3 linked regions of the Lepisosteus oculatus genome follow. Each later gene encodes a partner of the first gene's protein in a complex. Links are inferred from orthologs where the notes say so. Each region holds a gene or a part of one and is shown on either strand. Other genes may lie near its edges.

Evidence for each region.
Region 2: rbm10 (region 1) and kat2b share a complex: the UniProt entries of both Homo sapiens proteins name them as parts of the large chromatin remodeling complex. The link is inferred for Lepisosteus oculatus from reciprocal best matches to the Homo sapiens genes RBM10 and KAT2B.
Region 3: rbm10 (region 1) and mysm1 share a complex: the UniProt entries of both Homo sapiens proteins name them as parts of the large chromatin remodeling complex. The link is inferred for Lepisosteus oculatus from reciprocal best matches to the Homo sapiens genes RBM10 and MYSM1.

Annotation. Positions count from the first base shown.
Region 1 is NC_090697.1:77,941,370-77,949,513, reverse strand, and holds the start of rbm10 (RNA-binding protein 10), read left to right. Parts: upstream 1-4,936; 5' UTR 4,937-5,059; intron 5,060-5,790; 5' UTR 5,791-5,847; coding exon 5,848-5,864; intron 5,865-6,129; exon of another isoform or gene 6,130-6,296; coding exon 6,297-6,738; intron 6,739-6,922; coding exon 6,923-7,126; intron 7,127-7,470; coding exon 7,471-7,540; intron 7,541-8,144. Other genes in the region: rhoac (rho-related GTP-binding protein RhoA-C), read left to right, coding at 89-262. UniProt on the Homo sapiens protein: Binds to ssRNA containing the consensus sequence 5'-AGGUAA-3'. May be involved in post-transcriptional processing, most probably in mRNA splicing. Binds to RNA homopolymers, with a preference for poly(G) and poly(U) and little for poly(A).
Region 2 is NC_090705.1:30,066,532-30,074,768, reverse strand, and holds the start of kat2b (histone acetyltransferase KAT2B), read right to left. Parts: upstream 3,203-8,237; 5' UTR 2,954-3,202; coding exon 2,753-2,953; intron 523-2,752; coding exon 396-522; intron 1-395. Other genes in the region: protein phosphatase 2C-like domain-containing protein 1, read left to right, coding at 4,573-5,440, 6,431-7,062. UniProt on the Homo sapiens protein: Functions as a histone acetyltransferase (HAT) to promote transcriptional activation. Has significant histone acetyltransferase activity with core histones (H3 and H4), and also with nucleosome core particles.
Region 3 is NC_090704.1:17,917,491-17,924,987, forward strand, and holds the start of mysm1 (histone H2A deubiquitinase MYSM1), read right to left. Parts: upstream 3,203-7,497; 5' UTR 3,197-3,202; coding exon 3,138-3,196; intron 2,371-3,137; exon of another isoform or gene 2,365-2,370; coding exon of another isoform or gene 2,354-2,364; coding exon 2,275-2,353; intron 1,806-2,274; coding exon 1,735-1,805; intron 1,510-1,734; coding exon 1,435-1,509; intron 912-1,434; coding exon 839-911; intron 572-838; coding exon 473-571; intron 1-472. Other genes in the region: uncharacterized protein, read right to left, coding at 5,389-5,834, 6,675-6,873. UniProt on the Homo sapiens protein: Metalloprotease with deubiquitinase activity that plays important regulator roles in hematopoietic stem cell function, blood cell production and immune response.

The DNA of each region.
Region 1 (8,144 bases):
GTGAAAACCGAACGTTGAACTTGACGGTGAGCGGGAGAGGTCGCTCAGACAGGGGTGCTGATCAGTCTCTTCCCTTTACCACCTCCAGGAGCCAGTGAAGCCAGAGGAGGGCAGAGACATGGCGAACCGCATCAACGCGTTCGGCTATCTGGAGTGCTCAGCCAAGACAAAGGACGGGGTGCGGGAGGTGTTCGAGATGGCCACCAGGGCGGCGCTGCAGGCCAAGAAGCGCGGGAAGAAGAACGCCTGCCTTTTATTATAGAGGAGAGGAAAAAGTGAAGAGGGAGAAAGAAAACCAGGCCAAGGAAAATGTACCAGCAAGAACCCCCTTCTGCCCCCCAGCTTCCTCCTCCATCGCTGTCCTGCCCCACTCCAGGTATGAGCTCATGCCTCCGCATCCGATCCTGCTCTAGCGCCAAACCAGAGGATCGTCTCTCCAGGAACAGCCTCCCTCTCCCAGATGGACAGTTGCCTTGGCTGATGAGAGGGGCTCCCTCACAGGCAGGCTGGACACAGAAGCAGTGACTTGGTTTTCTTCAAAGGCTCGCCCTTAGTTTTAAACACTTGGCTTCAAAACAATTACATCTGCAGTGTTGTGTCATCGACAGAGAAAAGGTCCCCTGGAAACAAATGTCTATATAATGTTTTAAGTTTTGTTCCTCATGTCATCGTTTGTAGCCAAAATATTTCTGTGGCACTCATGGAAGTTGCTTACTGGGCTTTTCCTCAAAGCTGACGACATGTCAGCTGCGCTCCAAGATACAGTGTTCCTGTTGCTAACGCAGCTGTTACTCTGGATAGGTATGGGGAAGAGGGCATTGTTTGAATGCTGTCTCTAGCGGCGGACTGGGTGACGAATGTTGTGCGAAACTGACAGGTGACGTCCCTTGGCAGTGTTAGTGGCAGAGGATGCTGTATCTTGAGTTGTGGATAAGTGTTTAAATTAACATTTCGCCATAAGTCCTCAGTCTTTTTTTCATCTGCAGTGTGGGACTAGTATTGTTTCGGTCATTACTGCCAGGGGCCCGCAGTGTAGACTGGTGGATCTGCATGTGCTCCTTGTTTCTGCCCCACTGTGTCTGTAGCACTGAAGCTCCTTCCTCATGGCATCTTCCTGCTCCTGTCTGGTTCAATTCCACAAATCTGTCTCATAGAAGCAGAGATACTGTTTTAAGAGCTTCAGCCACATGTAAAAATGACGACTATAAAGGATTTTGAACATTAACAGATGGGTTGTTAATAAGACTGAGTTTGTGTTGTTTAAAACTGGGGGTAACCCCCCTCTCCTCTTACCCACTGCTTCCCCTCCAAGCTGGGCAGGGCCTGCAACCAGTGCAACATCCTGGCATGAGGTGCCTGTCTGGCAGCCTGGTGTGAAGAAGCATAGCAGCGTATTTTAAAAGGACTCTTCGCAAACATTCCTGCCACCTCTGTCCTCCTTCACCACCTGTAGACCACTGCAGCAAGTTGTGACCTGCCACTCTGTCAGGCTCCCTGTAGTCTGTAGCTTGTGAGCAGGCCCCACCCCTGGGTCTCGCCATACACAGTGGCCCCTCGCTGGAGCGCGCCGAGCTGGTGTGTCAGCGGTGTCCGGAGGATCCTTCCTCACCATCTGTTCCATTGAATCGCCCCTCGGAGTCGTTCAAGTCAGTCTGAGCCACTGTCCCTGTAACCCCGGTGGGTTTGTGTTCTTGCTAATCCTTTGAAAGGGTCCCAGGATTGCATCTGGGATTTGAAAAGAGGGTTGAAAAAGGAAATAAGCTGGCGATTTTAATTCACGATTTAAACCCTGCCACAAAAAGATAAATGACACTGGACTCAGTCTGTAGCCCTGGGGTCACCCTCATTTCCTCCCAGAATATTGACAGTGATAGCTCTGTGTGAAAGGGCTGGGGGAGAGGGTTAATTGTTTGAGAATAGCAAATGATATGGGAATCTTGATAAAATCAGCCATGTGAACAGCGAAGGAAATAGGATCCCACTTGATAAACAGTAAAGGGGGCTGCATTGTCAGACTACAGAGGGTAATCCTGATGGAGATTCCAGTCTGGACAGTCTGGAGAGCTGGAAGACTGTGTCACACATTTGAGTTAAGTGTTGTGACTTGAATGACCTGTTTTACACATATTGTAAGACTTCTACCTAATGGGTGACTAGATATCCCTGCAGCAGTGGGTGAAAAACTGCGTACAGGTCCACAGTGCACAATGCATGAGCTTTTCAGCATGAAAGGAGGTGAGAGGGTTTTTCAACTGCCCATATCTATCTATATATATATATGCATACAATATTACATATATATGTAATATTCTAGATTTTGGCTTTTTCCTTTTGGGACTGGATAAGATGTATTCACACCTGGTTTTGTTTTGCTTAGCCTACTTTCCTTTAAGGCCTTTGTGCTGACTGATGACGAGTTTCTGAGTACTGGTGAAAGCCAACACAGAACTTGGCAAATGTGCAGTTCAAACCCATCAGGATTGCAGTCGGCCTTTGTTAAGGAGTCTTTAAGGATTTCCAAAGAGGGGGGTTGACCTGCACATTTGCTCAGCGTCCTCCATTCGAAAATAAATGTCCTGTGTCCAAGTGATGGAGTCCACAGGGATGGAAGGTTAACTGAAAAATGCGGTGCTGAAACTTCTCACTGCGTTTCTTTGGGAATATGAAAACCTACCTAATTTATAAAGTCTGAAGTAAGTCAAGGTTTTTTAAACCGGTCCTGGTCACATTTTCCTGTCTGTGCTGGCCCAGGGGACGTGAAGGGGGCAAGTGTTCAGCTTCCTCTAGCTCTCACACGTACAAACCCTGCGCCTCCTTCCTTTTTTTCTGCTCTTGTACTGTATATTTAACCCTGTGTGGAATTCTACTGGCTTGTACTGTATCAGTAATACCCTCTTGCAATTCTAGAATCTTACCTTAAAAATGTAAAAAAGGAAAAACTAAATATTATATTAAAAGTACTTCTTTTTAAAATAAAGTCACGAGAGAAAAAGAATCTGCCGCATATAACTTTACCTTTTGTACAAATGCATCTTGGAATTTCCTCAGTCTGCTTTTAAAACTACTTTAAATAAAAATTGTTTTTAGGGTACTGAGTTTGTGCAGTGTCCTCTTTGATGCGCACTTGGACAGGGGCAGAAGACTGATCACAGTTATGGTCATGTCCTCCAGCAGCTCAAACACAGTTGCTCATGCTTGCACACACAGAGCTGAGATACACACTTGTTCAGTGACGCACGCCACGTGCATAAAGCTCAGATACACGCTTGTTCAGGGATGCACACTGCGTGTACAGAGCCGAGATACACGCTTGTTCAGGGATGCACACTACGTATACAGAGCCGAGATACACGCTTGTTCAGGGATGCACATTGCGTGTACAGAGCTCAGATACACGCTTGTACAGGGCGGCTGTTCCTTCACAGGCAATCACGCATCTGCGCAAATCATCCAAAGGTGTTTTTGCTTTAAAAAAATTTAAGCAAACAGTATGTCCAATTAAAATCAAGAGAACTGTAATCATTGTTTTTTTTTCTAATTATCCAAAAGGTTTGCTTTATTAACAAATTTGTGTATTTTGTCTTTAATAGAAGGAAAACGTCAGCCAATGACTCTGCACAGAGAACAAAGTGTTGCAATTTGGCTCTAGAATGGTCAGACACGTTGCCAAACCAAACTGGTATAGAATTCCCTCAGTAATAACTCCATAACCCTGAATGAGAATGGCCCAGGAAACATTGAGACATTTTTCAGTTGACACAGGAAATACAATCTCTGGTGCACTTCCATTGTGATGCTCAAAACATATGTATCCCATTTGAGGATGTTAGCAATAGTACTGCTAGAATATTGAAAGACACCACATGTTGAAGACATTCAATCATTGCAGTGATTTCTAATTCCCTCACTGCTGGTGCAGAACAGCTGCTGGGTGTCGCCAAGGTGGGGATTCACTTGAGTGGCGAGTTAAGTGAGTCCACTAAATATGTGTAAAAATTAAATCTTCTGGGGGTTTGGGTTCCAGGAACAGGTTTTAGTTATTTTCAGTTTGGAAACCACATCAAACATAAAAACAACGAAGTGCCATTCGGGGATCTATAACAAAGTTCTCCTTTAATTCACAGTCTACTATTATCATTCTTACAAGATGTAATCCTGTAGAACTCCACTCTTCAAACAAAACAGCTCCCTACACACACCACGAACCTTTGTGCTTCGCATATCCCCCCTCTTAAGAACCGCCCCTGTTGCTGCATTAAATACCAAACCTTAATTAAATAACTTGCTTCTTAAATGAACACTACAAATCCCAGTCCTACACTTGTAAAGTGCTTTGAGACACTGTGGGATGAAAATGCATTACAGATTTACATTGAACATGAGATGAATAATGGTATTAAGATCCCAACTCTAAAAGGTCACATCCGTTCAGGAGCCTGAAATTTACAGGAAGGACCGTGAACAGTGCAGAATAGTGACTGCTGTCTTCGTCAACAGGTTTAACTAGCTCTACATTCTCTGCGTGCACTTTGTTCACTTCCAGGTTACTGCAGTACAAGCACTGGGTGCGCTTTATTTTTTTAGCCTGCCAGGCCAACTTTCCTCAGTCATACAGACCCGCATCAAGCCCTGCGCGCTGCGACATCGGCCTTCCTGTACAAGAAGACGGCTTCACCTCTAACCACTCAGAGGGCTCGAAAAAGCTGTCACGTAGAAGCAGAGCCAATCAATAACGAGAGGCGGACTTTCCTTTTCTTGGCCTATGGTGTCCGCGGAACTCTTAAAGGGAAATGTCAGATCCAATAGGAAAGCGGCGCTGTGGACGCCCCGCCTGAGAAAAATGTTGATTGATAAGGCTCTTACCCAATCATATGTTTTATAGGAATGGACCCAAAGTTTTTGGACCAATCAGCTGCAGCAGTCCGCCTACCAAGCTCCGCCCCGGTAGATGGCCATTTTGTTTTGGACGTAGAGCGAGACGGTTTTTCCAACATTTCTAAAAACATGTTTGTTTATTCATAACTTTAACCCTTGGCGTTTCGGAACAATCTTTCAGAAGGTATGATTTCTGTTCCTTTGACGAGATTTTTCATTCTAATCGGCTCTCCTTTTCGAGCAGCGAGTTAAAATAACGCTGTGTTTGGAGACCCCGGAGGTGCTGTTTACGCAGGTAGACGTTGGTCTCGTTTATAACTGACAAATCCCGTTAAAATGTTTTTTTTTAAACCGAAACCGCCGTTTTCCTCATGTCAACAAGCGCGACAGAATTGGTTAACGCTGTATTTCTGAATCGCAGCGAAAGAAATGATTCCGCTCTCTTCTAATGTCGGTAGTTCAGTGTTGTTCAGCGGTGTCAGTGTGTTGCAGCGCCATTGAAAGCGCCGATACTGTGGTCAGCACCTGTGTGCCGGGGCTCTGGACGCGTACACTTCACCTCCGGGGATCGATGGGATGTAGCTTCACCGACCGATTGACCGACTGTTTCTTCAGTAGCGTCTCTGCTTCTCATGGGCTGCCGGTTAGCTGCTGGGACCCAGGCGGCCCGGAGAGCTGCGCGGCCTCGGTTGTCCCCTCCTGTCGGTTACATGTCGTATAAACGAGCACGGCGTGGTCACGCCTCTTGAGCTCGGATCTGAAAGACTTGGCGACGGGGGTGAGCTGGGTTGATTAGCCTGCAGGAGACGCGTGTGACCCGAGCCTCTAGCTCCCGGTGACAGAGGCGGACTCGTGTGTCCGGGTCTTCTGCAGGGCGTGGTGCTGGTCCAAATGACTCCTCTCTCTCCCCCTCAGGCCAGCGAACCTGGTGCGGGGTGCCGAGCTGTCTGTGTGCCAGGTGGCCGGAGCGGGATGGACTACGAGAGGCGGTAAGATGATGAGGGTAACAGCTGCAAACACACCTGGAGGGACGCAGCGCAGGATTGGAAGGAAGTTCTGCCTGCACAGCCAGGGGCCCGGCTGTCTGCTCGTGTTATTAATGCCAGTGAGCAGTTAGAGAACTAACTGTGCTTCTTACTAGATTAGTCTTCGCCAAGGTCCTTAAGCAGAAGACTGATTGCATTATACAGCACATAGAAGCCTGGGCTGGTGGTTAAAATAAAGAGTTTGCTCTCGTTATCGTCACGTCTGTAGCCAGGTCACTGTGATATCGCGTGCTGAGCTGGTGTCTGTGCGAAGAAGTCTTCTCTTCTGACTTGGAGACCAGCTGAACTGAAACCCGCCGGAGCGGCTCCCGTGGGCTCGGACCGGTCTCCGCCGCGCGGCCGCGCTCTCACCTGCTGCCTCTCCTGTGCCCGCAGGGGCGGGCGGGGGGACCGCCTGGGCCGCTACGGCAGCGACCTCCAGGACCACGACTACCGGGACATGGACTACCGGGCCTACGGGCGGGACGAGCCCGCGGGCCTGGGCTTCGAGCCGCTGGAGCAGGAGGAGCCCCCCTTCCCCCGCGAGGACAGGGGGTTCCGCCGGGCCGAGGACTTCCAGCGCTTCCGCAGGGAGGAGCGCGCCCACGAGTGCGAGCTGCTCGGCAGCGAGTACGAGCCCTTCGAGCCCCAGGAGCGGCCCAGGGAGTACGAGCCTCGCAGGAGGGGCTTCCGGCCCTACGGCCGGCCGGGGGGCTCCGCAGCGGAGTACGGCACCTCGGAGCTGGAGGAGGAGAGCTACAGCGGACCCCCTGCGCAGGAGGAGTATGGCGATCTGCACCCCGAGGACCCCGAGTTTCAGGGCCCGGACGACCAGCAGGTGAGGTCTAGGTCCAGCGTTAACGCGGCACGGGCAGGTGACCAGGTCACCCTAGACGTTCAGCTCTTCCGCAGACTGCTGCAGCTGTTCTCGACGTGCGGCACGGGCTTCAAATGTAAGCTTAGCGACTGAAGTGCGAATGAATTCATTGTGAGCTTGTCGTGTGTAAATCTGTACCTGGCAGGAGTTCCCAGAGGCTGCCGTCTCCGGCCTGGCGGGGGGCCGGGGATCCGAGGGGTACCACGCCCGTGATGCTCTGGAGGAGTCGGCGGGCTTCCCTCCTGACCCGGACTTCCGGGACCAGGACTACCGCGCCGACTCGGGCGAGCAGAAAGCCAGCAACATCATCATGCTGAGGATGCTGCCTCCTGTCGCCACTGTCAACGAGGTAAGCAGCCCCGCGCTGTAGGACGTCTCTCCCCAGCAGCGCCGTCAGCAGGCAGTGTCTGGGGATGCAGATGTTGATTAAGTACCACAGAGGATCTGATTCTCCCTTTTTTCTTTTTCTTGTCTCTTGTTCTTTTCTCGTTCGTTTTTTAATTAGACACTGTAGTGTCCACCGCGAGGTGTATGTGATCTCTTTTTGGTCTCCGATTTGTTTCCATCTCCTCCCCTCTGGGGCTGGGATTTAAATACGAGGATTTAATTCTTTACAGTTTGATGTTAATAATGCTGTCCGTGTCTGGGGTCAGGATCTGCCTTCATCCCTCTGCCTCCCCTCTGTTGTTGCAGATCCGCTCCCACCTGCAGGAGCAGGGCATCCAGCCCAGGGAGGTCCGGCTCATGAGGAACAAGGCATCAGGTGAGCCTGCACTCCACAGGGTCTCCCCTCCTCCCCCCGCCCTCTGCTTCCCCTCCTCCATTCTTTGTGCTGCTTTCCCCGGGAGGCTGGGCTGCCTCTGTCTGTACACCAAGCCACACGGGATCCGTCCCCAAGACGGGCCTGGTTCACACCTCCCCACACACCCTCAGACAGCAGAGCACACAATCGCCCCCCAGCAAGGGCATAGGAGCTCTCCTCCCAGCAGGAGAGACCCCATCGTAAGTATGCCCGAGCACCTCGGTGTCTGTGTGGTCGCGGTGTTGCTGCAGTGTGTATCTCGCCCTGGTCTACAGAAGAAAGACCTTCCTCTCCACCGTCTCTGGGGGAGCCTGAGAAGTCAGTGATAGTTTCTATTGCATGTAGGTACAGAAGGCGGGGACTAAAAGAAGGACCAATTTCTTTAAACCATTCCATTGAGATGCTTTAGCATTAGGAAACTCATCAGAATCAGCATAGTTTCGAAGCCTGATCTGCTCGTATCTTAAGTGGCTTTGCACGACTGTGTCTGGTCTGTTCTGAGACTGCATCTGTAGAAAATAATTTCTTGAACTGGCAGGTATTTCTGTTCCTACTGGTCACAGAT
Region 2 (8,237 bases), on another chromosome or scaffold:
GTATTTTCTTACTGGCTCTGTATAGTGGAAATATTCATACTGTGTTAGGACCTCTTTCAATATTTTTCTCTTAATCTACCCCCTTTCAAAACAGGACATAATAAAACAGAGGTTGAAAAGCTTCTCAGCAGAGTCCACTGAAGTTCTATTTTATACCTCTGGCAAATCCTATTTTTTTATACTATGACATGTTAACACAACAAAACAGTATGAATGCTACTCCTACAAAAAAGAAAAGGATATAGAAAAAAGACACAGGAAGTGAAAGAGGTACTACATTAAACTTCATGTCCAACTATAGAACACCTAAAGCATTCTACACCTGTGTCTTTAAAAAAATTCAAACTATCCAACACTCCCTTGGGTAATTCTTTACAAGTCCTACAATTGCTTACCCAGTAAGTGACCGCAACTGCGGCAGGGCTCAGTGAGGCTGACAGTTATCTGCTGCAAATCCACCCGGGGAGGAGTTGGGGGTGGATTTTGGCTCTTCCATCCATTACATTTACAGGACTCTTCAGCCTGCAATATACAGGAATGGGCACTTCATGAATAGCTGGACTAGAAAATACAAATGGATGACTTTGTTCTTAAATGCCATGTATTTCTCCCGAGCTATTGATCTGAATCTTTTTTTTTCCCCATTTGTAGTTGCATACAAATAAAACGTTTGTGTTATTTTAAACCATTGTGGCAAATGAAAGCTATAATACACACAGATCTCAGCTTGGCTCCAGATAAATCAATATTTTGAATATAAAGGAATCTAAGGGGTGCTGGGAAATGAAATTAATTATTTAAGTACTCTTCCCCGGAGGGCCATTTTGTCTTCTGGTCTGTGCTTCAGGCAAGTTCTTAGGCAAATTGATTTTAATTTCAGGCGTACTTTTCAATTTTCTCTCAGCTCTTAAAAAAGATTTTTAATGTTCGTAATATCAAACCTGCACCAATACCTACATCTCAGAACTCATTCATTATGTTAGCTGATATGTAACTTAAGTAGAAGGCAAAAACAGTCATTGTGAAAATGTTTAATTCAATGTGATGGCCACCTGTGTCTGTTTCTCATGAATTGACCATGTTTATTAGTTGAAAGAAAGAAAATCATAATGAGAGAGCGGAAAAGAGACTACTCTAATAACCTTTAATGTATTCATACAGTTTAACTAGGGCTTTGACACACCTGGGTCGAAAATGTCTAAAGATGCCAGGAGCTCAGGTACAGGCACCAGTTAGCACTGGTGATTACATTGAGGGCCAGCTGAAATGAAAACCAGCAGATGTTATTGTCCCCTCAGAACAGCACCGGGAACAACTGATCTAAAAGACAAGGATTGCCTATGGTGGTCTTGAAAGACCACATACCTGTACGTGTTGGTTTTTGTTGTTGCCAAGCTCTCAGTTACAAGATTAAACCCTTAATTTACTTAATAATTAGAATAATTTGAAGTGTTTGACTGTTTTCAGCTCTTAAACATGTTAAAGGATGCCTTTTAACTACTGCATTTTGTAAGCAAATAAAGATTTTAGTTTAGGTAACTAAGCTTGACTGGAATGAAAACCGGTAGGTGTGTGGTCGGGGTCCTGCAAACCCACGATCTGAAGCAGGAGTACTCGACATTGGCATTTCCATCCAATTCCTTTTCTCCAGCGAATTCTGATTTATCAAGATACTCTTCAGAACCTGGACTAGAAAATCAAATAGCAACTCAGGAATTAATTTATTGAAAGGTTTAAAGTCTCACAATAGCATGGAATTGAAGTGACAGAGTTAATTATCCCCGGCCTAAGAGCTAAACTTGTTTTTGTTCTGTGTCAATCGGCTTAATTTCAGTTTTTAAACACTTGCAAACTGACACAACGAAGGAGTCTACTTGTCAGAAGAGAATAAAATTTAAGCAAGAGGAACTTTTATAATGGCAAGGTTTCTTCTTGTTTAGCACTGAATTTGTGTAATGTTACAGAAATATAATAAAATGGTTCAGTGTTATACTAATACTATGCTAGTCTATGCAGTACAAAACGGACTAACAGCCTTAGCTTACATCTAAAAAAAAATAATAATACATGAATCACAGCTAAGAGCAGAAAATAACAGAGAAGAAAAAAAAGGAAATTGTTCTGAAAGAAAAGTTAAGTTTTGGTGTCATCGGTGCAGCAGAAAGTTATTGCAATGCTGCATGTGACCACTAGTGATATCAAAACAAGCTCTTCTGCAAGCCCGAGCTCTGTGTGTAGTACAACTCAAGACGTTTTTTGCTGCCACAGCTATTCGCAGCAAACGTGCACTGAGGAACAAAACCAAACTCCGCCTACCAGCAGCTGTCATACTGTCAAAACAAAGAGGCTGGTTCTGAGCAAAGACGACGATTATCAAAAAATAAGTTACACGTTTCACAACAAGCAACAATTCCATTAACGTATATAGACAACTGATTCCATATTATCCGAGAAAACATTGCAACATTTACTGCCCATTACTCGAAATACGGAATATTTGACACCGAGCCAAGTGTGTTTACGTCCACTTTTTCCCCTCCAAACAATGAGTGCAGACCATTATTTAGTGATTTTACGATGTACAGTACACCCATACTGTACTTTTTCATTACCTGCAGGTACAATTTCTAACAGAAACGAGTCACATTTCCTCATTGTTTAAATATGCAACTTTCTTGAGGAAAATCCCTACGCTGTGGTTGCACTCTACAGAAGCGCATCAGATTGGAACTGTTAGATCTGACCTATGTACCTTGCAAGAGGAATAGACTCCGAGTTTCTCCAGCTTCTTCGGCCGCGGAGCGGAGCGAAGCTGCGCCTTCTTCACGGCGATACCAGCAGATCCCGCAGCAGCGCCCGAACACTCCGTCCCTCCTCCCCCGGGAGCAGCAGGGGCCAAGCCCGCCGCCCCCACAGCTGGGGAGCCCTGCTGCAGCCCGCTGCTCTCCGACATCCTAAATAGCGAGCCCGAAACGGACTCCCCAAGCCGCTGGATGTGTATCTCTCTATTCCACAACTGTAGGATCAGACATGGCGCTCATCCCTATTTTTTGTCATTGTAATCTCCGCATGCCCTCACTAGGGGGAGACAAAATTGGCATCCTGCAAATATTTAAAGAGGTCACAGACATGCAGCCTGTTGTGGCAATAATTTCAAGGTCAAATGGATTACGTCAAGCAGAGTAATGGAGATCAGTTACCTAATTTGAAACTCTCTAACCACTACAGAAAGTGAGCATAGTATTTCTGAGAATGCTCACTGGGTATTTAATATATGTATACAAATCATACCACTGAAACTGTCAGCACTAATGATATTCATGCCTGTCAGCATTGGCATTGCTCCTGGGTGTTTAATCAGTCATATGAGATCCTTCATCTCTTAAAGGTCAAAGTAAAGGGATTCACAAATTATTTTATTTTGGTAACTTACATTATAAATTGCAGGTCTAAAGGACAATTTAATTTAATTATTTAACCAGCTAAGTCACTTCAAAACTTTTTTATTTCCTATTGATCCAATTCATTTCCACTGAGCTGTAGAGGATCCATTTATACATCAGGGCATCTACAGGAACAATTTAAGTACCTTGCTCAAGATTACAACAGCAGCTTCCCACCAAAGATTTAAACCTACAACCTCTCCATCTGGAGTTTGAGACCCTAAGCACTATTACACACTTGTGCCCAATAAGGTGGAAGTGCATTCAAATATTTCAAAGCAATTACATTTTGTTGAGTAACCGGCTTGCTTTGTTTTCAATGAGATGAAAGAATAATAGTTGACTCATTACTATTTAAAGAAGCCATACAGTTTATGTAAAAGGCCACACAATTTGTTTTTTGTCCATGACAAATGACTTGCTATTTGAGATTTATTTGACACATGTTCAGGCTGCATTTCATGTTTCACATTTGTAATGTAATTTGGTTCTCTGCAGAACACAGTGATGAAGGATGTTTTGTGGATACCAAAACAGCAAAATTATTTGGACAAACCCAGTACTTTTGAAGCTTTGAATAAATAAACCATCCTACAAACTTTTTTAAAAGAAAATAATTGCATTAAAACTTATTTGCTTTAAGTATGCAAAGAAAATTACCAAGCCCTGTGAATTGAAGTACATTTAAATACATTCTTTAGCACATAAACTATGAAAGTGAAAATCAAACTACTAAATTATTGAAAAAGAACACTGAAGCTTAACATGGAAAAGGGATTTACCTACTGTAATTGCATATTCATGATTCAAGCTGGGGCCTACCCTTAATTTTCTGGTCACAGTAACTTTAGTTTCCAAGGTCACAGTTTCCATGGTACAACTTGTAAACAGCTTATGTTGCCTCAACTTTAAGGTAAAGCCTGGCTGAAATATTTCACAGCTCTCTTCATGGAAACCGATTTAAAGCTAAGGTATGTCATTTCTTGATTTTATTTAGTTGGAGATTGTTGGTGGAGGGCTTAATGTTCACTGCTAAGAGTGTAAGCCACCTAGAGAGATAATGTATAAAAACACTGTTCGACAAAATACAACTTCTATAGTGATCTGAAAAAGTAAAAAGCTGTCAATAATGTACCATTTTGTACCAATCCCTAGCATACATCACTCGCAGGACCAGAGCAGATCATTTGATGAAGATAAACACATTCTAAAAGAAGGTACTTCTAATAAGACAAAAGAAGGTATACCTGTAGCTGTGGAAAAAAATCACGAGTTAACTTTTAAAGCTCATGTCACTTCTTCAAATAAAAATGTAAAGCAAGCCTGTACGACAGAAGATTCCACTGACGCAATTAACTACAAACACAAAACGGGATGTTGTGTGACTACATTCAAAGTAAATCATCCTGTAATTAAAGCTGTAGCATCATGTGAAGATAAAAACGCTGTATGGAAACAAGAAATGGAAGACATGTCTATATTCATTGAGCGCTATGGAAGTGATAAAGGTGCATACTTCATAATAGGCCTTTGTGACGGGTTTCATGGTAGATATGCAGCTGATATAACTTCTAAAGAACTCCCAGTCATTGTTCTTGAACAACTTTCAAAATGTTTATCAACATATTCCTTAACTGGAGAGGATATTAACTTATTGGAAAGCTTTGAAACAATATTTCAAGAAGACTGCAAAAGCAATGCAGATCAAATACCACCTTTTTCATATTTGCAAGTGGAAGACTTGAGTCATGACGAAAGAGTGCATATGGCCTTTGCCAAGGCTTTTCGCAAAATGGACCGGATTCTAGGCTTGGGTCGAAATGAAACTTCTAAGATTCGGTGGAGTGGATGTACAGCCTTAATTTGCTTAATTGAAGGCCCAATGCAAGACAGAAAAAATGCAGAACTGCACCAAGCAGGAGGCTGCAAAAACAGAAATCATTTTACATCACAAGATCAAAAAAATACTATGGGAAAAATACACATTGCCAATTGTGGTAAGTATGTTTTTCATGTTATGCAATTGATAGACTTTTAATGAGCATTAACCTGGCCTCTGACATACTATGCCAATATTAAGTACAGCAATTAACACAACATCAAGTAATTTGCTATGGCAAAAAGCAAATGTTTTAGCTTAAAACATGGGCAGTGTGGCTAATTCAAACAATTGTAGAGAATTCCATTCTCTTACCTATAGTAACACTAATTGCTTACACTTAAATAGCGCTTTTCTGGACACTCCACTCAAAGCACTTTACACGTAATGGGGACTCTCCTCCTCCACCGCCAATGTGCAGCATCCACCTGGATGATGATAGTGTTGATATCACGCCGGTACGCTCACCATACATCAGCTCTCAGTGGGGAGTTGAAAAGAGCGATGAAGCCAATTCATAGATGGGGATTATTAGGAAGCCATACTTGGTAAAGGCCGATGGGAAATTTGGCCAGGACAACAGGGTTACACCCCTGCTCTTTTCAAGAGAGGGATTTTTAATGACCAGAAAGAGTCAGGACCTCAGTTTTACGTCTCATCTGAAGGAGGGCACCTTTTTACAGTTTAGTGTCCCCATCACTATACTGGGGCACTAGGGCCCACACAGGCTACAGGCTGAGCGCCCTACTGACCCCAGTAACACCACTTCCAGCAACAATCTTTTAGTTTTTCCCAGGGGGTCTCTCATCCAGGTACTGACCAGGCTCTCACCTGCTTACCTTCAGTGGGTTGCCAGTTGTAAGCTGTAGGGCGATATGGCCTTACTTCTTACAGGATCATAGGGCAAGAGGTCAAGCTAGGGTTTCAACTGCGTGCATAAAGCCCTTTAAATTGTAGTGAGTAGTACAATAAACCTTCAGACTTTAGAGTCTGTAAATAGAACACCAAAGGAATTCATAATGCACCCATAGTGCCTGATTAAAATTAACATGGCGTGTACAAGTTTGAATAGCTTTTATGAAAAATTTAATGAAGTTTGTGATGTTAGGCAACACACATGCAGTTTTGTGCAAGAATGGGAAAGGACATCGGCTGACAAAAGACCACAGTACTTCCAACCCAAAGGAAAGAAGACGTGTTCTGAAAGCTGGCGGGAAAATAAGTGTAAACAAGCAGCACGGACTTGTAGAAGGTCTGATGAGTGCAACCCGTGGGCTTGGTCATCACGGGGACCTGCAACTGAAGAAGTCAGTCATTCCTGTGCCATATTCTGTATCTTTACCAATAGATGACACTTTTCAGGCAATGATTTTAGCTACAAGTGGGATTTGGGATGTCTTGGATGAAGATGATGTTGCAGCAATTGCCATGGATTTTTCTTCTCTAGCGGAAACACCTTGCAACCCAAACCAAGACAGAGAAAGGACACCAAATCAGGCACAACTCGAGAACAAAACAGATGAAAGTGGGACTTTGGGCAAAGAAACACAAGACTGCTTCCAAACAGAAAAACCCTCAAATTGTGTAAGGACTAAAACTGAAAAGCATTTCAAAACCAAGACAGACTATGAAAACTTGGCAGTTTCCATTAGTAAAAAAATTGTTGAAACAGCAGTAAATTCAGGGGCAAAGGAAAACTTATCAGTGATAACAGTACTTCTGCCTGGATTAGATGTATAAAAAATGTATAAAAAGGCTTATAATATTCAACACCACTGCAATAAAATGATGTATGGCACAAACACTTTCTTCAGTGAATAAACTGTCTGGGACAGATTTGAGACCATTTGAGAACTGTCACTGTTCCATTATTCAATCAGTATAGCATGACCAAATTAATTTTTATTTAGGAATTAAACAATATGGTAAATTGCTTGCATTTAGATGTGAGCTGCATTTAATATTCACAGCAATAAGTATACAATATATCCCTGTTTATTAACTTATTTATTCATAATCTAGTACCTGAACATTAGAACTGATCAGTCCTTAACCATTATTGAGTTACATTATTACATTTCTGTTGTTAAAAATGACTGCCAGCTACTTATCAGTTCAGTTACCCGTCTTGCTTAAGCAGAATTATGATTCCAACATAGCTGATTTCAGTTTCTACTAGGTATAATATCGTATGGGGCATCATTGTCTTACCACTAAAATATTTAGTGCAATGCGAAAGAAATGTTAAAAATATAAACAGAGAAATGAGAAAGTACAAGACAAACCACTAAGGAAATGCAAGTTCATTTTGTTAATAACACTACATACATTTATAAAGATCACCACTGATTATAATTTAACCATTTGTGGAAAAACTCCGAACCCTTAATAGAACCATTTCAGTTACTGTACAGTTTGTATGATTATCTAAACAACTCCCTAGCAAGCATTAGTCCAGTAAGTTGTATACTGAAAAGTAGACTACATTGCAACACCCTATTTACAGTATATTATTTATAACACACCAGCTGTAATAATGACAAGAAGTATCGATGAGCATTGTTAGTGCAAGGCATGACAAACGACTTCAAAAGACCTGCTGAAGTAATTGGTTCTCCTAATATCTTGAGGTGTGCTGAAAACAAATCAAGAATAGTTAGGAAAAATGACAATTTTTTGTTTTCCTTTCAAAGGATAAATCATGTAACCGAAACAAACAGAATTTACCAGACTGGTCAGGTTTGTGTTCACATACAAACTATTAAAACGAACGTAAGCAGACCTTCCTATTCTCTTTTCTCAAAAAGATACACTAGATTTTCATTTACTAAAAATCGACCCACTGGGCAGTTTAAGGGGCCATTGCAATAAAGACTTGCTGCCAGACTGTACTGCAAATTGGTTTGCATATCGCA
Region 3 (7,497 bases), on another chromosome or scaffold:
ACGCTCATTTCCCTGTCCTAAAGATGCACAGACAAAAATGGTACATAACTGGTTCTAGAATCACGATACTGTAATAATCTAGCATATCTTAATAAAATAATTACAATTTATTGTATTTATGAAATACTTTCCAAGATCCGTATCTTCTAAATTTTAAAGGATCCAGAAGCATTTCACACATAGGAAAGTATCCCACTTCATCAAAAATGAAGGCCAATACTTTAATTACCAAATAGGCAGGTTCAGGATGCGAAGAGTACCAACTACTGGTGACCAAAATGTTCTCCCTGACCAGTCCTAGCCTTGCTTAACTTCTGAGATCTGACAACAGCAAAAACTCTGAAATTCCTGCTTGTCCTTAGCATGCTTATACAGTAATTGCTCATTACCTCAACAATGAAAGAACAGCAAATGTTATAAATGTTCTTCACTGTGATAAGGTTCTGTTTTATTATTTACACTCAGGACATACCATCTTTTTAAAGTACTGCCTTGCATAGCTCTTCACCTGCAAAACACTGCGACTGCCAATCATTTTTGCTATCTTGGTCCATCTTCGACCAAACTGTGTCTGAAACATCAAAAAGACAGGAGGGAAATATCTTTAATGCTGTTCAACATCTATTACACTTATAGTTCAAATTACAGACTATTAGGATTTGTTTCCACACTTTAAGCTGTACTAGCTACAAAACTATCTTTGGTGATAATGTTATAAAAACATAAACATAAATCTTTATAGAAACAGAAACAAATAAAAAAAATGCTAAATGATAAAAAATCCAGATGTTATACACAGTGCAATAGCCAGTATAATTTGTCAAAGTAAATTTATTACCAGTCCTTTTTCAAAAAGATCCTTTTCCTGCTGTGCCCAGCGAACAGTTTGAGTACCCGATTTAATTGGAGACCTATAAGGATTTTTTCAAAAGAATTTAAAAAAAAGAAAACCAAAAATAATTAAAACAAACTCTATTGACTCTATCTATAGCCAACAGTATAGATCCATTCAAAACAAAAAAGAAGCATCTTTCAGAACAAACATTTATTTATAAGAAATGTTTTTACAGAAAAAATAGGTATTAAGAAAATAGGTATTGTGTTTATATATAAAACTTGTATTTATGTAAATATATGTACAAATATTAAACATAGCCAAAATCATAAGACAGGATTACCGCAAATGTATATTAGGGACTGCAAAAGAATGTGTATTTATAAAGATACATACGTTTAGAATTTATCATATTTAGTGTCATAAATGACGTAAATGAAAGGAAATGTCAGTCCTGTACACCTAGAGAACTGCAAAATTCAAGGGTAGTCTTAATTTACCAAATAATTCAGCATTAAAACAGCTGATCTGACTTAATATCTAAATAATAACATTAAGAAATTATTATCGGAGTTATAAAATCAAGTTGATAAACTCACTTCTTTACTTTTTCGGTCATTTGCTTGTCACCAGTCCAGGTGTTCTTGGGAAGCTCCTTACCTGTTAGATAATATCTTAAACCTTTTTAAGAAAAACTGTCAGATCACTGCATTGGAGATGACTGCCTTTGATTAATAGCATTTCTCAACTGTGTTAACTTATATAATGAAATAATAAAATCAAGAAGAGGTGAAAACAAATATATATATATACACTTCTCAACTATGTCTATGCTGCACTGATTCTTCCTGCTAGAAGAGTTCACATTTTAAGTCAGTCCAGAAACAAAAAAAGGATACTCCTCTTCAAGCAGCATGTTCTCAATAGCTGCTCTATTCTCAGCACTGATGGAGCTGTCCAAGGCCCAGGGCTAAGGGAGTTAGGAGCAGAACCTAATGTTAAATGTGAAACCTAATGTGTAAAGACTTCTACTCACATAACACCAAGCAGGCAAAAGCTTTGAGCTTCCTCAAAGCTGCAGACCAAGAGCTGAGTATGAATGCTGTTATATCAATCTCTTCCACCTTGCTTATCCACCTGTTACAACCTAAGTGAAGATTTTGTTTCCAGAAACTTTAAACCAAAATGAAAGCAAATTGAACTGAAAGTTATTGAGCAAGAGACATCATTTGGTTGTAACTGCCTCTTGTGGAGAGATTGAAAGAAGGAGCTTTTACTCCATGATGTATTCTGTTTTCCTGCTGTAAAGTGTGGACAAAATAAAATGTCACCAGACATGTCACATAAGCATGACAATAGAAACAATGTTAGCAATGCAGTCATGTAGGAAGGTTTGAATTGCAAATGCAAATTACTACATTGTAAATGCATCCACTTACTATCAACCCACTGTCTGTCCTCCATGATGACTGTAAATACTGGTCTTGCAAGAATCTAGCAGATCCAGCATCAGGGTCTCTGAAATACATTTCAGGCTATCACAGAAAGATTTCAAATAGTATCCATGTCAAAACATGGCTGTTAAACACAGCCATGTTTAGTGCGTACTTAATCCACACTGCACTAAGTACGGTATTATAATATTAAAGTTTATGTCGAAGACAACAGGTCAGATCTCTGAGACTACTCATGGGAATAGGCTTAAAGTGGCATCAAAAATATTTTTGGAAAAGGTCTTCATGTTCTTCAAATTTTAGATAACTTGAGTTAGTTCTAGATGGTCTCCTCTCGTTTGTAACTTTTCGTTCATTAGATGCTAAGCGTTTACTGAGAAGACGAAGCCTCCTGACAAAGGTGGCAGGATAGCACGATTAGCTCTCCAACACAACTTGCTCGTACATTTGAAACGGTCTGTTATACCCGAGGTCTTCTTGTTTATACTTTTACATCGGTATTACTAAAACAGATGTAGCAATATCTTTAGGAGAAACATTCTGACACTCTAAAGGTTCTATTTCTATATAGCTGAAGATCTGAAAGGAAAAAGCGAGTCCACAAGGTATGTGAAAAAAATATATAGAAAACAACATAAATGTTTATTCAAATTAACATAAATCTATAATATCTGACTTATCTAACACTCACATTACGGATTTTACTCTCGACATTTCGCCATTCATTTCAATATGTTAAGTACTGAGACCTTTAAAAAAAACAGAAATTTCGTAAAAGTACTCCTGTCAAACTCTGAATCAACTGACACTGTGTAAGACATTACAGACACACTGTTCCATCACATTACCTCAAATTCAACTCAGATTCATCACCCTCAATATCAACAACATCCAGCTCCTCCGCCATGTTCTCTAAAACTCAGCACTAGCAACAAAGAGAAGTGACAGGTCGCTCAAAGGACGAAGTTTTTCTCTGTAGCGACATCTGCTGAGTGGAAGACCTCCAGTTAATGTCGTTATTTATATTTGATATATTTCATTTTTAAAACATTTATCTAAATAATGTTATGAAAGTATAAAAATATATTTTTTGATCGAGCTTATACTGAATATTAAAGTTCCCGATTTGTGTGATTCTATAACCCCATTCTTTTCACAAAACTGTTGACAACTGTCTAAAAGTCTAAAAGGATGCCCTTTTGAATGTGACAAGTTTTATGCACAATTGTTTGACAACTTGTAAGAGAAACATGATTACATTTTGTGTAGTCAAATTCAGTTTTTTATCAAACTTAATTTAAACCACTGAATTTTTTGGGTCCAAAAATAATAATTACATTGCTACTCTTAGTTTTATAACAAAATTACAATTGGAGAACACATATAAATTTAGTGGTTACTGGTGCTATAGTAGATACCTGTTATTAATACCCATCACCAGGTGTTTCCATATTTAGTGTAGCAAAAGCGAAATTAAGGAACTGGAGTTTTGCTTTTCATTTTCAATAATCAGCTAATTTTTGTATGCTATTTCAATTTTGCTTTGCAACTCCCTAATCAATTTCTGAAGTATGAAGTCATTTTAAAAGAAAATAATCACTCTGATCCCATTACAACATCTAGGGTGATGTATTTATAAAAAAGGTATATTTTGAAGCATAATACCCTGGCTTCTATTAAAAAATGTGTGGATGAGACCTTTGGGATAATAAGCTTAATGTAATGTAATGTAATGTGTAATGTAATTACTACTAGCAATCAAACATGTTAGAAGTGTATAATGGCTTCCTCTGGATTGTAACTATTCCTATGTTGTTATATGGCCAGCAGCCATATCACCCTGCAACTCACAACTGGCAACCCACTGAAGCTCAGCAGGTTTGAGCCTGGTCAGTACCTGGATGGGAGGCCTCCTGGGAAAAACTAAGGTTGCTGCTGGAAGAGGTGTTAGCGGGGCCAGCGGGGCCAGCGGGGCCGCTCACCCATGTGGGTCCTAATGCCCCAATGTAGTGACAGGGACACTATACTGTAAACAGTGAGATGTAAAACCGAGGTCCTGACTCTCTGTGGCCATTAAAAATCCCAGGGTGTTTCTCGAAAAGAGTAGGAGTGTAAGCCCGACGTCCTGGCCAAATTTCCCATTGGCCCTTATCAATCATAGCCTCCTTATAATCCCCCTCTATGAATTGGCTTCATTACTTTACTCTCCTCCACACTGATAGCTGATGTGTGGTGAGTGTTCTGGTGCACTATGGCTGCTGACGCATCATCCAGGTGGATGTTGCACATTGGTGGTGATAGAGGAGAGTCCCCATTACCTGTAAAACACTTTGAGTGGAGTGTCCAGAAAAGCCCTATATAAGTGTAAGCCATTATTATTATTATTGATAATACAAAGTAATTAAGACATTTTTAGTGTTGGTAAACAATTACAGGTACCTTTGTGTTAAAAGGGAAAAGGGTATTATATAAGTCAGTCTCTCAATTTAATTTCTTCCAAAAATAAAGTTTTTATTAAAGTTACTAACAATAACTGACATAAACAACTCATAAACACTTGAATGAGATAAGAGTATGAAACATAATACACGTTATTATTTACAAAATGTTTTTATATTCAGTTTTAAACAATTCAATGAAAATTCTCATAGTACAAATATTCCAAAATTATCTATTTTAAATCCTGCCTTAATTTTACATTTCCTAATCCATTACAGAAACTTTGAAGTCTGGAAGAAGTCTAAAAGTAACTTTCTTAAGTCTATAATTTGCCAGTTAAATTTACACCAGCTAATTTTCAGTGAAGCCTTAAAGAAGTCCTGATGGGTAATTTTAAACTCCTTAAATTACCTGCTTTTCTGTATAGCTGGATCACATTTTTAGTTTAAAAGCCAAAAGAGAAACAGTTTACTCTATGAAGGCAGAAATACAGAGCTTGTGAATAACTCCTTATGGAGAAATACTCCCCTACCAGTGTCACATGAGACAAATATGAACAGATTTCTCTGCTACTTCCCCAACCTGTCGGATATTTCCAACAACGAGGTCACTTTTGTGTGGTGCCATCAGCTGAACTCCCTTCTGTGTTCCAGTAATACCCTATGTGTCCTCTTCTGAGGAGGAGTAGCAGTCAAGACCCAGAACATGTGGCTTGTGTTCGGCAGGCAGGTGGGACGTACTGAGCTCCAATGCCTCTGAATTTTTGGGAAGACAGTTCTGGGCTGCAGAATTCTGGGCCATGGAGCAGCTTTGAAGGTTCGGAAGCCCTGTAAACAGAACCCTTGCCAGACTGTCTAAGTTCTGATCATCTAGTGTGGCACGTTGCCCAGAAACCTTCACAGCCATCTTGCTGTGGTTGAAGCAGAGAGGCTGGTCTTGGCTGGGTAGGTCTGCCACAGGGGAAGTGAGTACAAGAGTACAACTCTTCTCTTTCTCTGGAGCTTGTGTCACCTTGCTCTCCTCTTCATCATCACTGTCTGACTCATCACTCTGGGATCCTGGTTCTGACAGCACAGGAGTACATAACCTTTTAAAGCCCCCAGACTCTGAGAAAAAATAATTCTTTTTAATTTTAATTTAATGTATACACACTACTTAGTAAAAGGTAATAGCTTCCTAAAGTAACTGTGGATTAAAATGTAACAGTTTTCAGTGCTACATGTTAGAGCTGATACTTCAAAATAACCCCATGTTTGAAAGAAATGTGCTGGTACTTCATGTTTGAAATAAATATATTAATAAAATACTACATGATTTCTGATGGTGAGCTTATAGTAATCACAAAACACTTTTGTTCTTCGTACAAAACAAGTAATTTTGTCAACAAAAATGACATCTCAGAGCCATCAATCTCAGACGTATCACCTCCAAACGTTATGAAGTTTAATAAATATTGATGGTAAAACTAGAAGTCCAAAGTAGTCCAAAGTGATACCTCTTCTAAATTTATGAAAAGTTGAAATTTATAATAAATTAACATAATACAAAGGGAGGTAGTACTTCTTTTTGCAACTCTTTGCAAGTCAAGACCCACTGTCTTTTTTTAATTCACTAGAGGCTTTAATTACCACTTACGAAGATGACTGTTCATAAAACATGGGTTGATACAGTCAAATAAGTCATCTTTATGAATTATGTATTTATTTATAAATATGTTATTCTTTATTAAAATAATTATTACATTATTTATAAATCAGTAAAAGGGATTACTGGAGATGGGGGATGTCAAAACTTACAGCAGTGATAGTTTATCCATCACAAAAACAGACATGATTTTGAAATAACTTCAGAAATCATTAAGGATACATATCTGCTGGAGACTTTAAAAATGTGAAATGCAAGCAAATGTACTTCAATGCATCACACAGGAGGACAGACAGATCTACCTGCTTGGCTAGGACATGGTACCCCATCCTGTGGCCGTTTCCTTTTAGTGTAGCCTCGGGGATTCCAGGGCTGGTGTTTGCAGGACGGATCTAGGACCCGGAGCTTGTGGAGGTAACTCTTATATTCCTTCCGCAGCCCCTCTATCTGCTGCTGAAACTCTGCAATCTTCCTCTCAGGGTAGTGAGAGAGCTGGGACTGCTGCAAGACAAAGAACAGTTCTATTATAAAAGAACACATGAAATGTTACAAAGAAATTAAGGCCATTTCCCCCATCATGCCTGTTTGGCTTCTAGTACATTCCCAATCTCCCTGCTTCAACAGCACTGCAGTGCAGTTTGTTCCAAAGAATTGCCATTCTTTGTGTAAAGAGCACCTCCTGTTTCCAACTCAATTCATTTTTCTATAGCCTCCACTTGTGCCCTCAAGCCTTTGTGTCTTCTCTGTTCAAGACTTAAATCATTGTCATAACAAGACCTCACTGTATTAGTCATCTCAAATATTCAACACTGAAGTGTATCAGTAATCTGCATAACACATGGAAACCATAGGACCAAATACATAGCAAGTCAGGAAAAGAAGTAAGTTCAACAGCTGAGTCTATTATGCAATGAAAGAGTGAAATTTATCAGGACACTAGGATTAGTACCTTTTAAAAAATGCTAGTGGCTTGTGGAAGAACGAAACAGGATCTTAAAAGACCAGGTATTGGATTATTTTGAACTGCATTTCCACTTTTAGAAAAAAACAGTCTCAACAGCAGGGGGCATTGTCATAATTGCAAAGAGGGAATTGTTAATGAACACAATGATTTCTTCATACATA